Macaca mulatta: one gene and its partner. The protein of the gene in region 1 interacts with the protein of each later gene in a pairwise test. Links are inferred from orthologs where the notes say so. Each region holds a gene or a part of one and is shown on either strand. Other genes may lie near its edges. The genes, in order: SPDEF and NKX3-1.

Evidence for each region.
Region 2: the proteins of SPDEF (region 1) and NKX3-1 interact in a two-hybrid assay, tested with the Homo sapiens proteins (2 studies listed by BioGRID). The link is inferred for Macaca mulatta from reciprocal best matches to the Homo sapiens genes SPDEF and NKX3-1.

Annotation. Positions count from the first base shown.
Region 1 is NC_133409.1:147,734,522-147,741,871, reverse strand, and holds the end of SPDEF (SAM pointed domain-containing Ets transcription factor), read right to left. Parts: coding exon 7,326-7,350; intron 4,473-7,325; coding exon 4,275-4,472; intron 2,818-4,274; coding exon 2,770-2,817; intron 2,652-2,769; coding exon 2,505-2,651; intron 1,700-2,504; coding exon 1,521-1,699; exon of another isoform or gene 1,447-1,520; 3' UTR 1,035-1,446; downstream 1-1,034. UniProt on the Homo sapiens protein: May function as an androgen-independent transactivator of the prostate-specific antigen (PSA) promoter. Binds to 5'-GGAT-3' DNA sequences. May play a role in the regulation of the prostate gland and/or prostate cancer development.
Region 2 is NC_133413.1:25,395,455-25,402,904, forward strand, and holds NKX3-1 (homeobox protein Nkx-3.1), read right to left. Parts: upstream 4,685-7,450; 5' UTR 4,649-4,684; coding exon 4,369-4,648; intron 3,418-4,368; coding exon 2,999-3,417; 3' UTR 1,898-2,998; downstream 1-1,897.

The DNA of each region.
Region 1 (7,350 bases):
GCCCCCTCCTCCCTGCAGTGCAAGCCCAGCTGACAGATGCCAAGGTGCTATTTGCTCACTGCTAGGAGCAAACTTTCTTCTGGACAACAAAATTGCTGAGGGCGGAAGGCAGCAGTACAGGGTAGCAATTAACCCTTGGTGGTCTGGGTGGTGCTGGCTCCCCTGCTGTTTCCTGGAAGCCAGGCCTCAGAGGATAAGGGTGAAAGAGGACCAAGGGTGCTAACCAGTCAGGAAGCCGGAGGGCTGGAGGGGCAGAGAGAGCCCTGTTCTTGTGGAAAGACAGGTATGAGTTACTCTGTCAATCAGCTGTGTGACCATCAGCAAGTCACTGCAGCACTCTGAGCCTCGGTTTCATCATCTGCAAAATGGGGGAGTAGCCCCTACTTCATAGTTTTGTTGGGAAGATAAATGACAAAGCACCTGGCACACAGTAGACCATAAGGACACTGAGCCGGGTGATAAATGTGAGGGAAGTGGGAGGAAGCTGGATGAGTTGCTTTGCCCGGGAGAGTGGGTGGCGGGTCCTGGTCACCCCCAGCATGCCCACAGACATCAATGCACACCCTCTTCCATCACGCACGGGGGTCTCACACCCACTCACAGGAGCTCACATCTTCACAGACGGTACTGCTGAGGCCTTCAGGAAACAGAAACGGGAGCCAACCAACCTCTCTTCCACCCTGTTAGCTGCAAAGCCCTGCTCTGCAACAGAGCAAAAGGATGCGAAAGATACCTTCCCCATTCGGGTCCTGCATGAAGAACCTCTTTAACACCAGCCTTACCACCCGCCTCTCAGCCCGAACAGGGATAGGGAAGATAAGGTGGCTGTTCTAGCCCCTCCTTGACTTTGAAGCCTCACTATCTCTCTCCCAGAAGCATCTACCAGTCAATTATCCCTTTCCCTTTAGGCTCAGCCCAAAGCCGCCTCCTCCAGAAAGCCTCCCTTGACTACTCCAGGCCCTGTGACCACAACCACACTTGACCATTGATGACCTCGGGGCTGTGCCATTCACTGCGCAGACACTGGGGACATGTCAGTTCTCTAGTATCTTTATTATCCATTCCCGGGGGCACTCCTGGCTCCCTAACTCAGGGGTGCAGACGTCTCCCTGCACCATGCCAGGCGTGGTGCGGATTGGGAGGCAGGGGGATGGAGCAGAGAGAGCCCTGGGCTGCCTGTGGCCTTCGCTGAGTCACTGCCCTTCTGTAGGCTCTGCTCTGGAAATGCTGGGGTCAGAGGCAGGTAGAGGGGTCCTTTGTTGGGGAGCAGTCCTGGCTCCCTCTGTCCTCCAGGGGAGCAGCTGGGCCTGAGGAGGAAGCACCCCTGCCCTGGGGTCCCGAAGGCCCCAGAAGGCCCATCTCCCCCTGAGAGCAGCGGGCCGCCTCTCCCTGACCTTGGGCTCTGGAAGGTCAGAGCAGCAGAGCAGACTGCCCATTTTCCCCCAGCTCAGGGCCTGGCTGAGGCAGGACAGGCAGGAGGGAGGCCCCGGAGGGCGGGTTTTAGGCCCTGGGCCGGGCACTCAGATGGGGTGCACGAACTGGTAGACGAGGCGCTGGGAGATGTCTGGCTTCCGGATGATGCCCTTCTTGTAATACTGGCGGATGGAGCGGCTTAGCTTGTCATAGTTCATGGCGGGACGATTCTTGCGGATGCCCCACAGCCGGGCCACCTGGGCTGAGTCCTCAATTTTGAAGATGCCTGGAAGAGTAGGAGGGCCCCGAGAGAGCCAGCGGTATGAGTGAGTCGGCAGGAAGGAGAAAGACGCAGACCACCAGGTCAGCCTCGGGGCGAACCAAGAGACCCTGTGCAGAGGCCTCCTTCTGCTCGGGTGGGGCGGGGTGACCAGGGACCCGAATGCTTACTCCCAAGGTGCAGTAGTGGTGAGGGTTAAAGAGATGTGTGCAAAGCAGGTGCCACAGGCCCCAGTGAATGGCAGAGAATACTCTGGAGTCACAAACCTCCCGGCACAGTTGAGTCTGTGTACCTTAGTGGGTTCTCTGGGGCCCTGCGGGCCTGGCCCTTGCCAGCCCCTGCTCCTGTGTGGGGTTTGCGTGCCCTAATCCAAAGTCCTGTGTGGCTCCCAGCAGTGCCCACAGCTCACTTGGCAAGAGCACTCCTCCCCCATTACAGGTGTCCCTGTAGTTCCCAAGCCTGAAACAACATCTTTGCTATTCCCAGGCAGTTTTGGCCTGCGCAGCCCTTTCTGGCGGGATTAATTAATACGAGACGGTGGAGGGAGAGTCGATTTGGAGCTCGTTCCAGGAGCTGTGCTGTACTAAGCTCCTAAGTGAGACAGAGTCTAGCAGGAGACAGATATGGACACAAATTGCACACAGACCCCCCAGGGCCATCTCATGAAAGCTGTGTATTTGGCATCCAGGACAAAGGTGGAGATCAGCTTCCCCCCTCTGCCCGCCCCTGCCCCCATGCACAGTGCCTGGCAGAAGCCCCCACAACCTCCATGCTCACTGGCCCTGCAGTGCCCCTTGGGCACCCTGCTCACCCTTCTCCTTGTTGAGCCACCTAATGAAGCGGCCATAGCTGTGGGGCTTGAGTAGCAGCTCCTTGAGGAACTGCCACAGGTGGATGGGCTGCCCGGAGCATGACGAGTCCACCTCGCTGTCGGTCCAGCTCTCCTCACTGGTCGAGGCTGGGTGGCCAGGGAGGGGGGCAGTGAGTGGGAAGGGGAGGCCAGTCCCTGCTTCAGTGGCAGCCACCCCTCCACCCTACCCGAGCCCCCGCCCCCGCCCTGCCCCTGCCTGGCTCACCGCAGTAGTGAATCGCCCCAGGTGAAGTCCGCTCTTTCATCCAGGCCGCTGCAGGGCAAGGAGAGGGGGTTGGGGACCCAGGAGAGGTGGAGGAGGGGAGGCGTTTGGGTGGGACTGTGGGGCCACAGGAGCCCCTTTGTGGCTGGGGGTTGCCCCTGAGGCTCCCTGCCACAGTCCCTGCCTCCTGCCAACCTGGGGAGGCAAGCTGGTTACAAGAAGCTGCTTCCTGGACGAAAATTCAGGATTTCAGCGCTGGGAGGGGCCATAGAGGGCTTGCACGCATCCGCTTGTTCAGATGAGGACATCTGACATGGGGGCTTGCCGGGGCTGGGGCAGGGCACTGGTCTCTGACAGGGTCATATGAGTGGGCCCTACTTCTTACTCCTTGACTCATCGAGCAGGCACCATCTCCTCCAAAGCACCCGGCCCTGTGCAGGCAGCAGTGGGTGCCCAATGAGATTGAGACAATTTAGACACTCAGGGGCTGACACGCAGCCATTAGAAACTTAGGGCAGGCCGGGCCCGGAGGCTCACGCCTGTAGTCCCAGCACTTCAGGAGGCCGAGGTGGGTGGACTGCTCGAGCCCAGGAGTTTGAGACCAGCCTGGCCAACATGGTGAAAACCCGTCTCTACCAAAAAATACAAAAGTGAGCAGTGTGGTGGTGCACCTGTAGACTCAGCTACTCAGGAGATTGGGGTGGGAGGATCCAGTGAAACCGGGAAGTCGAGGCTACAGTGAGCTGTGACTGTGCCACTGTACTCCAGCCTGGGCAACAGAGTAAGACCCTGTCTCAAAAAACAAAAACTAAAATTAAAGCAGGGCCACTTTAATTTTAGCAGAGTATAAAATTAAAGACATACTGTGTTTTTAATACCAAGACATACTGTGGTATGCAGAGCAGTGTAATACTCTGCTACTATTTATGTCAAAAAAATATAAGAAGAAGAAGAACTGCATATATGTATATGTGCTTGAATATTCATAGACTTTCCCTGGAGAGATACTCAAGAAACTGGTAAAAGTGGTTGCCTCTAGGGAGGGGGTTGGAAGCTGGGGGTCGGGAGCAGGAGGGAGAAACTGTTTATGGTACACTACTTTTCACTATGGTCTATTTTATAACATGCACGTTTATTACTTATTTAATAAACAAACAAACAAACAAACAAAAACAAAGGAAAACAAAATTTTAAAAGGAAAAAGGACTTCCTAGCGTCCACGGTTGTCCCCAGCTCTGACACCCTGCATCCTCACAGTCTGACTTCTACCTTTTAACCTCCCGGGTGCTCTGTCCCAAAGCTCTGGGGCCTTGACCAGGACTGGGAGTGGGTTGGGGTGAGGAGTGCACCAGGATCCAGGAGGCAGCTGAAACTGGGGCTGAGATTCAGAGTGGAGTCCAGCTGGGGGCCAAGGGGCTGCTGCCCCAGCAGAGGGCAAACTCCTGGCCAGCATCCTGTCCCTGGCTTGGAGCCTGGGAGGGGCTGCTCCCACCCACGCCACATCCTACCTGACTTCCAGATGTCCAGGTGGGCGTGCAGCACATCCCCACCCAGGGGCGAGCGCTGGCGGAACTGCTCCTCCGACATGGCGCACAGCTCCTTGCCCGCCAGCTCCTGGAACGCCTTGCCCACAGGGGGCAGCCGGTATTGGTGCTCTGTCCACAGGAGCCACTTCTGCACATTGCCGGGACTCCAGTCCACGGGATCTGGGCAAGAGGCATCCCCTCAGCTCAGGGGCAGCCTGAGAGCACCACCCCAAATACAGCCCCCCCTGCTGTGATGGGGCACCCACGGGAACCTGTGGCCTGAGACCTTGTGCTCCTGGGGGTGGAGGTAGGTCAGCCCCTGAGGGCCCCTGTGGAAGTGGGTACCCAAGAAGAGATTGGGGCGAGAGGAAGGAACCAGGGCCCTAAAAAATGAACTTGGTTCAGGGCAGGGTAACCTGGTGCATCTGTACTTCCTGCCTCACTCAGGCCTTGGGTCCTCCCAGATCCCTCCAGCCTCTCCAAAGGACCTTTCGAGGGAGCCCCAGCCCCGGAGGGACAGTGACACTCTACCGGAAACACCTGGGCTTCTCCATCAGGTACTTCTTGCCTTTCCCAAACCCCTCAAGGAACCAGAGAAACACCCATCTGGGAATTAGTCTTAGAGCCCCACCATTCCCTCCAGCCCCTGTATCTTACAGATAAGGAAACTGAGGCACAGGGCACTCTATCCCCTTGTCCTCCACGGAATAAAGGGCTGGACACACAGGAGCTGCTCCGTGCATGTGTTAAATAAGTAAATGCAGGGCACAGGATGGTCATGGGGCAGCCACAGGCCCCAGAGGCCAGGACGGGAGCCCTCGGCTAGGTCCTAGATATCCCCCTAGGGTGTTCCTCTGAGGTGAGCCTCATAGGCCTACAGGTGGGGGATAGGCTGGTGGGCATGGTCACAATAGGGCCTCCAAGTGAACACCATGGTCCAGCCAGTGTCCCAGCTGAGTGACCTGCAGGCTGGGCTGCCCCCACTTAATAAGCCCATTTTCCTCCCCGAGGTCAAAGCCATTTGTTCCTGTTCCCATTGTTCAGGGAGCAGGGCCCTCCCCTCCCTAGCCCTGTGGGTGGGGAGGAGGCCTGTGGGAGAACTCCTGGAGTCGGCCTGGCATGGGCATTGGGAAACTGGAGGACTGGGGCATCGGCAGGAGCAGCTTCAAATGAGGACATCAACGGGGCAGCTTTGGGGACAGGGACCAGGCCTGAGGAATGCATGAAGACCCCTGCTTCCCAGGGAAAGGTGCACAGAGTTGAGTGCTGCAATGTCAGGGCCTGAAGACCGAGGGACATGGGTCAGGCCTGCCTGAAGCTGGAGAGGTGACGGCAGGACAGAGGACTAGAGACTCAGCAACCCCCCCGCCCACAGCATCAGCTCCATAATCACGCCTTCCAGGTCTGGCTGATAGACACATGTATGCCAGGCCCTGGGACGTCCCCTCCTCATCAGGGCCTTCCATCCCACCAGACCAGTGACACATTTCTCTATTTATTTGTGATCTGTTTCCCTCACTATAATGTCAGCCCTACAAACACAGGGACTTTGTGTTCTGTTCACCACTCAATTCCCCAGTCCTAGAATAAGGCTTGGCATATTAGGAACTGCTTTTTGGCCCAGAGAGGCAGCTCATGCCTGTAATCCCAGCACTTTGGGAGGTCAAGGCAGACAGATCACCTGAGGTCAGAAGTTCGAGACCAGCCTGGCCAACATGGTGATACCCCCGTCTCTACTAAAAATACAAAAATTAGCTGGGTGTGGTGGTGGGCACCTGTAATCCCAGCTACTCAGGAGGCTGAGGCAGGAGAACACTTGAACCCAGAGGCGGAGGTGGCAGTGAACTGAGATCACGCCACTGCACTCCAGTCTTGGTGATAGAGCGGAGATCCTGTCAAAAAAAAAAAAAAAAAAAAAGAGGCCGGGCGCGGTAGCTCAGGCCTGTAATCCCAGCACTCTGGGAGGCCGAGGTGGGCGGATCACGAGGTCAGGGGATGGAGACCATCCTGGCTAACACGGTGAAACCTCGTCTCTACTAAAAATACAAAAATTAACTGGGCGTGGTGGCGGGCACCTGTAGTCCCAGCTATTCGGGAGGCTGAGGCAGGAGAATTGCATGAACCCCAGAGGCAGAGCTTGCAGTGAGCCAAGATTGCGCCATTGCACTCCAGCCTGGGCGACAGAGCGAGACTCCGTCTCAGAAAGAAGGAAGAAGGAAGAAGGAGGAAGAAATGCTTCTTATTGAACAACTGTTTATTGAGCATCAATTATGTTCAAGGTGCTATCCTAGCATCTGGGGATGGAGTGATGAACAAAACACATGAAAATCCCTGCCTTTGTGGAGTGTACATTCCAGTAGAGGACACAGAGAGTGAGCGAGGTCAATAGATATGGTGCAGCACGACTGAGGAGAGTAAGTGCTATGAGAGGAAGCAGGTGGGAACAGGAGGTAGGGGTGTGGGCAGAAATTTTAGAAATTTTTCTTCTTTCTTTTTTCTTTTTCTTTTTTTTTTTTTTTCCATTTTTTGTTTGTTTTCTTTACCATGTCCTGTGCTCATGGGCAGCAATTTTAATGGAGGGGTCAGGGAAGGCCTCAGGCGGATGGTGCCATCTGAGCCAAGACCTGAAGGAAGTGAGCCACGCAGATATTTGGGGGAAGAGCGTTCTAGGCTGAAGAAGCAGCAGCGTAGTGAGTGTTGTGGGAACAAAGAGGCCAGTGTGGCTGGAGCAGAGTGAATGAGGGGAGAGCGGAGTCCAAGAGGAGGTGGGGGGGCACAGAGCTTGAATTCATATCATTCAGCACCTACCAGCGGGGACACTAGGCTGGCATGGTTGGGACACTAGAGATGGATAGAAACCTTCCCAGCCCTGGCTCACAGCTGACTGTGTGTAGAAGTGCCAGCATCCCTGAAGTTGCCCGTGGCTGGGCCAGAGGTGGCCAGAGTCCATCCAGCAGTACCCCCACCCACCCCAGCAACCTCAGCCTTGCCTGCGACCCCTCTTACGGAAGCGGGCACAGGGAGAGGGCTCACCTGCGGTGATGTTGAGCAGCTTGCA
Region 2 (7,450 bases), on another chromosome or scaffold:
AAATGAGAACATGCCGTTTCTGACTTTCTGTCTCTGAGTCATTTCACTTATGATAATGGCCTCTAGTTGCATCCATATTGCTGCAAAAGACATGATTTCATTATTTTTGATGGTTGCATATGTATTCCATGGTATATATGCACCGCATTTTAAAATCTAATCATCTGTTGATGGACACGTAGGTTCAGCCCATGATGTTGCTATTGTGAATAGTGGAACAGTTGATTATTAAACTGAAGAGAGAAAAGGACTTCCTCTCCCCATGACTTAACAGGAATGAAGGACAGTGCATTTATAAAAGGATGGCCATCATTAGCTACTGGGTAGGCTGAGGCTTTCGATCACCATAGGTTGCAACTGGTGTGTCAGGTGGACGAGGGCAAGAGGATATGGTAATTAGAAATATCTAAGTTACACAGCATGTAATTTTTGGGAAACTGAAAATCACACACAGATACATCTAATAAAGACACGGGTACTTTATTTTCAAAACACTCATATGTTGCAAAAAACACATAGAAAAATAAAGTTTGGTGGGGGTGCTGACTAAACTTCAAGTCACAGACTTTTATGTTACAGACTGGAGCATGGTTTGTTATGCATGTAGAGAACCTAAACTAATTTATTAAACAGGATAGAAACAGGCTGTCTGGGTGAAATGGTTCTGAGAACCATGCAGTTCCCCTGTCAGATGCTGATAGACTAGCTCTTCAAATGTTTTTCTGCCAGTTCAGAGATGGGTTAATGACTAGTTCCAACAGGGAAAAAGCAAGATGGATTCACAAGCCAAATAATTTTAAACCAAGACACTTTTTTTTTTTCTTTTTTGCAACACAATATACATCACAGTGAAATGTGGAATCCTTGCAAATTGCAAGTTGAAAGAATTAAATTCAGAGGAGGGGAGAGAAAGAGTACTCAGTAGGGACTGAGCACTATATGCTTATTTTAAAAGAAATGTAAAGAGCAGAAAGCAATTCAGGCTACCCTGCCTTTTGTGCTGGCTAGTACCCCGGTGGGTGTCAGCAGTACATGGCATTGAATATTTCAGTGTGGAGCCCAAACCACTGAAAATGGGGTGAAATTGGCCAACTTTCTATCAACTTATGTTGGCAATTTTGCCACCAACAGTAGATTGGCCCTTTTAATAAAAGAAAATTGAAAGGTTTCTCACTAAATGGAATTAAGTAGTGGAATCAAGAGACTCCCAGGTCTCAGCATACCTCATTAGTAATTGTTTTGTTGTTTCATGTTTTTCTAATGTCTCCCCTCTACCCGGTCACCTGAGATAACAGAATGAAAGTGGAAGGACAGCCAGATTTCTCCTTTGCTCTCTGCTCATTCTCTCTGAAGTCTAGGTTACCCATTTTGGGGACCTATTATAGGCAATAAACACAGTTCCCAAAGCGTTTGGACAGTTTCTTGCTGTGTTTTAAAATGGGTTTCCCTTTTCTTAGCCTTTTCCTGCAAAAGGCTCACTCGGTCCCTTGTTTGCTCAGTGAACTGCGCTCCCCAGGGCCTAGGCTGCCTTCTTTTCCATGACTCCGCCCATGAGCCCTCCACTGGACAGCTCAGTGAGCCTGGCCCTTCATTCTGCACTGTGTTCTTCCTTCTCTATGAAAATCCAATACCTCTTACCTCCTCTGCATGCAAAGATTCTCAAGGATTGTCAGACTTCAAACGTAACAGCAGAACCACCAGAAGGTCCTATAAATGTAGCAGTGACCTTCTCAAGCTGTCAGGTATTTAAATAGGATTTGGGATTTAATGCTATATATTTTTAAAGGAAAGAAATAAGAGTTGCTAGTTTTAAAAATGCATGTCTTTTAGCCAATTCAGAATCTGCCCCCAACCTTTTTTTTTAAAAACTCAAGACAGATAAAGCTTTGGGGAGAGGAAAAAAAAAAAAAAAAAAAAAAAAAAGACCAGATCTCGGGATCTTGGGCTAAATACGTGAGGCATAAGTTAGGTGCAGCCAGACTAAAAGTCTGGACTAAAATGAAGCCCTTTAGTGAGTAATTGCTGCAAAAAAGGAACAAAAAATTGTAAAAGGAGGGAAGGAAGAAATATGTTGCCTCTGAGGATACAGTATATATGATAGCCTGAAAACTCCAGGAAACTTCTGATTCTAAATTCTCCAGTCTGGGAGAAAAAAGTTGAGGAGAGTCCTTTCCACTTTCTGCTAACAAAAAACGCAACAGTCCCGAGCAGCAGTGTGGAGACCCTCCTTAGGCTCCTGTCTTGGACATGTGGAGATTCTCCTGGCACGGCCCCACCTCTTGCAGTGGAGTTCTGTTTATACAGCTTGTCTTAAAATCACAGCCAGTGCATCTTGTTCTATTTGGGCCACTCTGTAAATACTTAAGTTGGCATACCATTTTAAAAGGAATAAAAAGGAATAAGAAGCAGCTGATATTTTCATCTCCTCCCACCCATCTCCCCCTCCCATGCAAATGTGTGCTAAGCATGAGGGTGTTCTCTTGGAGACCCTCTATTTGCCCCACTCTTTTACAGGGACAGAGAGAGCCTTGGCCATATTCCAAGGCCAACAGGAGGCTTCTGGACTTAAGTTTAATTCAGTTGGTGACATCCTCGTCCTGGCTGTCCTTTCTCCCGTTAGGTTTGCTCTTTCAGAGTTGATATTCAGTGACACAGGAGGATGGAGTTGTAGAACAGAATCCTCACGTGTACAGTTCCTCCAAAATCATGCAAAGAGCTGAGAACAGCACTTGATTTTCCCTCTCTCCCCTTCAAACAGGTAGCCAGAAGCAAAAAAATGACCTACAGTATGCACTGGGGGACAGACTTAGATATTAAAACGTTCACTGTCTCTGTTGTTTCATTGTCTCAGTAGTGAAGATGTGAGATTTCCACAGAAATCTCCAATAGCTTTGTTGCGCACACCTCTTGCTCCCTGACCTTGGCCCCTTGTGCTTTTCATAGCCACACCCTGGGGAAAGCAGTTTTTGATCATACATGGTTGTCACCTGAGCTGGCATTACCAAAAAGCTGGGCTCCAGCTGCCCACGCAGTACAGGTATGGGTAGTAAGGATAGTTGTTATACAAGGAGACCAGGGAGGCCCGGGAGAAGGCCTCCTCTTTCAGAGCCGGCAAAGAGGAGTGCTTCTCCAAGTCTCCCAGCTCCGAGGAGAGCTGCTTTCTCTTAGTCTTATAGCGTCTGTTCTGGAACCATATCTTCACTTGGGTCTCCGTGAGCTTGAGGTTCTTGGCCAGGTGGGCCCGTTCAGGGGCCGACAGGTACTTCTGATGGCTGAACTTCCTCTCCAACTCGATCACCTGAGTGTGGGAGAAAGCAGCTCGAGAGCGCTTCTGCGGCTGCTTAGGGGTTTGGGGGAGGCTTGGAAGGGAGCCTGAAGTGTTTTCACAGTCCAACAGATAAGACCCCAAGTGCCTTTCTGGAAAGGACAGCGGGGAAAGAGGGATGGGAAGACAAAAGTTACATGTTAGCAGGGAAGAGAACAGAATTCAATCCACCCTTATCTCTTTAGTGAGTGAACAAACAGCCCACTGTCATCGTGGATACATTTCACTTTTTTCACATGACTAAGGAGCTCTCCGGAGTGAAGAGTGAGTAAATATGTTTATAACCTATTCATTTTCTAAGAATCATTAAGAACCCAAAGTTAGAGATGTTTCGTGGTTGAACGTTCTCCCTATTGTCTAGTAGAATTAGATGGGGATTCTGGATCTGTGTGCTGAGGAGAGGCAGGAGAGGGAGGCAGGGAAGACAGAGGAACAAGACACCCGGGAAGGCCGGACCAAAAGGCATCCGGTGTTAGGACTCAGGTGGGCAAGAAAGGGCTTGTGCCACGGGAGACGCAGAGGCAGGCTCATTCTGGGCTTTAATTCCGTCTTCACTAAACTAGGCGTTCAGTCGCCTCATCAGAAGTGACAGGGAAGAAAATAACTCTTTCCTGGAGGGAACCCAAAATGTACCGCTTTACTGCCCACGGGATTGGGAAGCACACGGAGGCTTTCCTGGTCAACCCCTACTTTGTCACTATTAATAAGTTATCATTAGTTCTCGTAACTACCGTGGGGCTGGCGCCGATCGCGGGTGGCACGGGGCGGGATCCGCTCCCGGGACGGTGGAGGGCGGTGGCGCTGCGGTCGCGCCGGCTTCTGAGCCCCGGGGAGCGGAGGGCACGGAGCCGGGAGAGTCCTGCCGTGTCAGAATCCTGCGCCGCCCTGACGCTGGGGCTCAGGGTTCATCCCCGGGGCGCGCGCGCGTGGCTGCGGAGGCGGGGAGTTCCCTCTGCCTGAGGCCGCGGGGCCCCGCGTCCCTGCACCGCAAGCTCTGGGGGGTCCACCTTAGGCTGCCCTCGGGTCCCGGCCTCGCCGCTTACCTGGCTCCGTCTCCGCCAGCGTCTCGGCCTCCTCCGGCGCGGCGCGGGGCCTGGGGCTCAGCTGGTCGTTCTGTACCCCGGCGGGGCCGCGTCCTCCCTCCGGCTCTGGCTCTGGCTCCGGGTCGCGCCGTCTCGGGCTGTCCGTGTGGCCGCCTCGCCGCTGCGCGCCGTCCCGCAGGATGTCCTGGATGAGGAAGGACGTGAGCGGCTTGGACGGGGTTGGCGGCGCGGCCCCCTCCGCTTTCGCCTCCCCGGGCAGCGGCTCCGTAGCCCTGAGCATCCCGGCTGCCCCGCTCTGGCCTCGCTGCGCCAGCCCGCACAGCTTTCACTTTCCACCTCCCAGCGCGCTTATAGCCCCGGGGGAAGCGCGCCGCGCCGCCCTCCCATTGGCCGCGGGACGGGCCGCGCCGCGGATTGGCCGCCCTGCGCTCCAGGTGACGCCGCGGAACGGGAAGGCCTGACCACGAGCCGGCTCCGCTCCTCCCTAGGGGATTCCTTCCCCAGTTCCCTCTCCTTCCCCAATTCCCTATCCTTCACCCAGCTCTCCTCCCTCCGCCCTGAGCCGTTTTCCCAGGTCGGGAGCGCACCCCAAAGCTGGGCTCCTCTGCCCCAACCCACCCGCAACAGAAGTTGAGAAGCTCATGGGGATGGGATGACCAAGACGAACACTCCAGTTAGCTCTTCAGGACGGTCAGAGCCAATCACACGGGGTGAGCACGCAGTCACTGCAGCCGCACGGTACTGTGAGAGTTCTGGATGCTTTCTCTCTCTGGGAGAGATGGTGGCAAACTTAGATCTGCAATATCTAAGATCTCAAAGAGGCATGACAAGTAGGTGCAGCCTGACCCCAGGCTGAAAGAAGGAAACCATATTTGCCAAAGCCTTTTCCCATTGCACAAGTGGTTTTCTTTGGTGGTTCCTTTATCCGCAATAACCTATTAACTTTCCTTCCTTCCCAGACACATGACATACCATCCTTTTGAAAAGTTTCCAGAAGGATGGAAGGCGTTTTAGGCCAGGATAGGCGCAAAAACTGCATTTAAAAAAGTAGTTCAAAAGAACATCAGCATACTCTTTTTCCACATTACCAACTGTTAACATTTAACCCATTGGCTAAACAATGGGTTAGCTTAATTGGACCAGCTGGTACTGTGATTGGACTGGACGGTACCGTGACACGGACGAAAGTGGAACATAGATGATAGAAGTATTTTCTTTCCTTGGCTTTTGCCTTCTTTTTCTACGGACAGGATCTCCCTCTGCCGCCCAGGCTGGAGTGCAGTGATGCCATCATAGCTCAGTGCAGCCTCGATTTCCTGGATTCAAGTGATCCTCCTGCCTTGGCCTCTCAAAGTGCTAGGACTACAGGCGTGAGTCTCAGCGTCAGGACGATGGTGGAAGTATTGAATTAATGTTAAATTTACTGAAGTTGTACACTGTACTGTCAGTGTATAAGATAATATTTTTAGGAAATTAACACTGAAGTGTGTAGGAGCAAAGGCACAAGATCTACGAAACTTACATCAAATGGTTCTGAAACAAGGATGCAGTTAGATCCCACACCATAAAGCCAATGGGTTAAATGGTAACAGTTGGTAATCTGGAAAAAGGGTAGGCTGATTTTTTTTTAACCATTTTTTTTTTTTTAATGCGACATTTTTGTCTGTCCTGGTCTAAGATGCCTTCCATTCCACTGGCAACTTTTCAAAAGGATGGTATGTCATGTGTCTCTGGAGGAAGGAAAGTTAATAGGTTATTGCTGATAAAGCGGCCGCCGAAGAAAACTACCTGTGCAATGGGAAAGACTTTGGCAAAGCTGGTTTTCTTCTCTTATCTTTTCAAAGTCTCTTTATATTAGAACATTCTTTAATGTTTTCTTTTGAATCGTTGTAGATTCACAGGAAGTTGTCCTCCAATGACATTTTATACAACTGTAGGACAATGTAGAAAACAGGAAATTTACATTGGGACATTACAGTTAACTAGACTACAGACTTTTTATTTATTTATGTATTTATTTAGAGTAGGGTCTTGCTCTGTTGCCCAGGCTGGAGTGCAGTGGAGGGATCATGGCTCACTGCAACTTCAAACTCCTGGACTCAAGAGATTCTCCCACCTCACCCTCCTGAACAGCTGGGACTACAGGTGTGTGCCACCCTGCTCAGCCAATTTTTACATTTTTTGTGAAGATGAGGTTTCACCTTGTTGCCCAGGCTGGTCTCAAAGCCCTTGGCTCAAACAATCCTGCCTCCACCTCCCAAAGTGCTGGGACTACAGGTGTGAACCACTGTGCCTGGCTTTATTGTGGTTTAAATTTTTAATTTGCATTTCACAAATGCCTAGAGATGTTGAATACCTTGTCATGTGCTTGTTTGCCATCCATATTTCCTCTGTAGTGAAATATCTGTTCAAGCCTTTTGCTCGTATTATAATTGAATTTTCTTTCTTTTTTTTTTTTAACTATTGAGTTGTGATAATTCTTTATATATTGCTGTATGTAAGTATTTGTCTGATAGGTGATTTGCAAATATTATCTCCCAGTCTGTAGCTTGTGTTTCCATCCCTCTAACAGGATCTTCAACAGAACAAAAGATTTTAATTTCATTGAAGATCAATTTATGAATTTTTGAATTTTACAGAATGTGATTTTGATGTCCTGCCTAAGAACTCTTTACTTAGTCCTAATACTGAAGATTTGCTCCTATGTTATCTTCTAAAAGTTTTATGCTTTACTCTTAAATCCATGATTCATTCAGAAGTAATTTTTGTATATAGTGTGAGGTTTAGATTGAGATGGCCTCCTTTCATTTTTAAAATTGAGAGTTGGGTGTGAATTATTTAATAAAAAGTGCTGCCATTTGGAAATATAAAGTCCTATTCTTATGACAAAATAAATTCCAGACAGCTCAAAGATGTAAAACACAAACAAGCACGTGAAAAAATAATTTTAACTACACTTCATCAGTGAAGGAATGCAAATCAAAATCACATTGAGGCAAACCTTTTCCACCTTTCAGACTGACAAAGGTTGAAAGAAAATGGATAATGTCCAGTGTAGAGCATGGAGGAACAGCTGCTATCA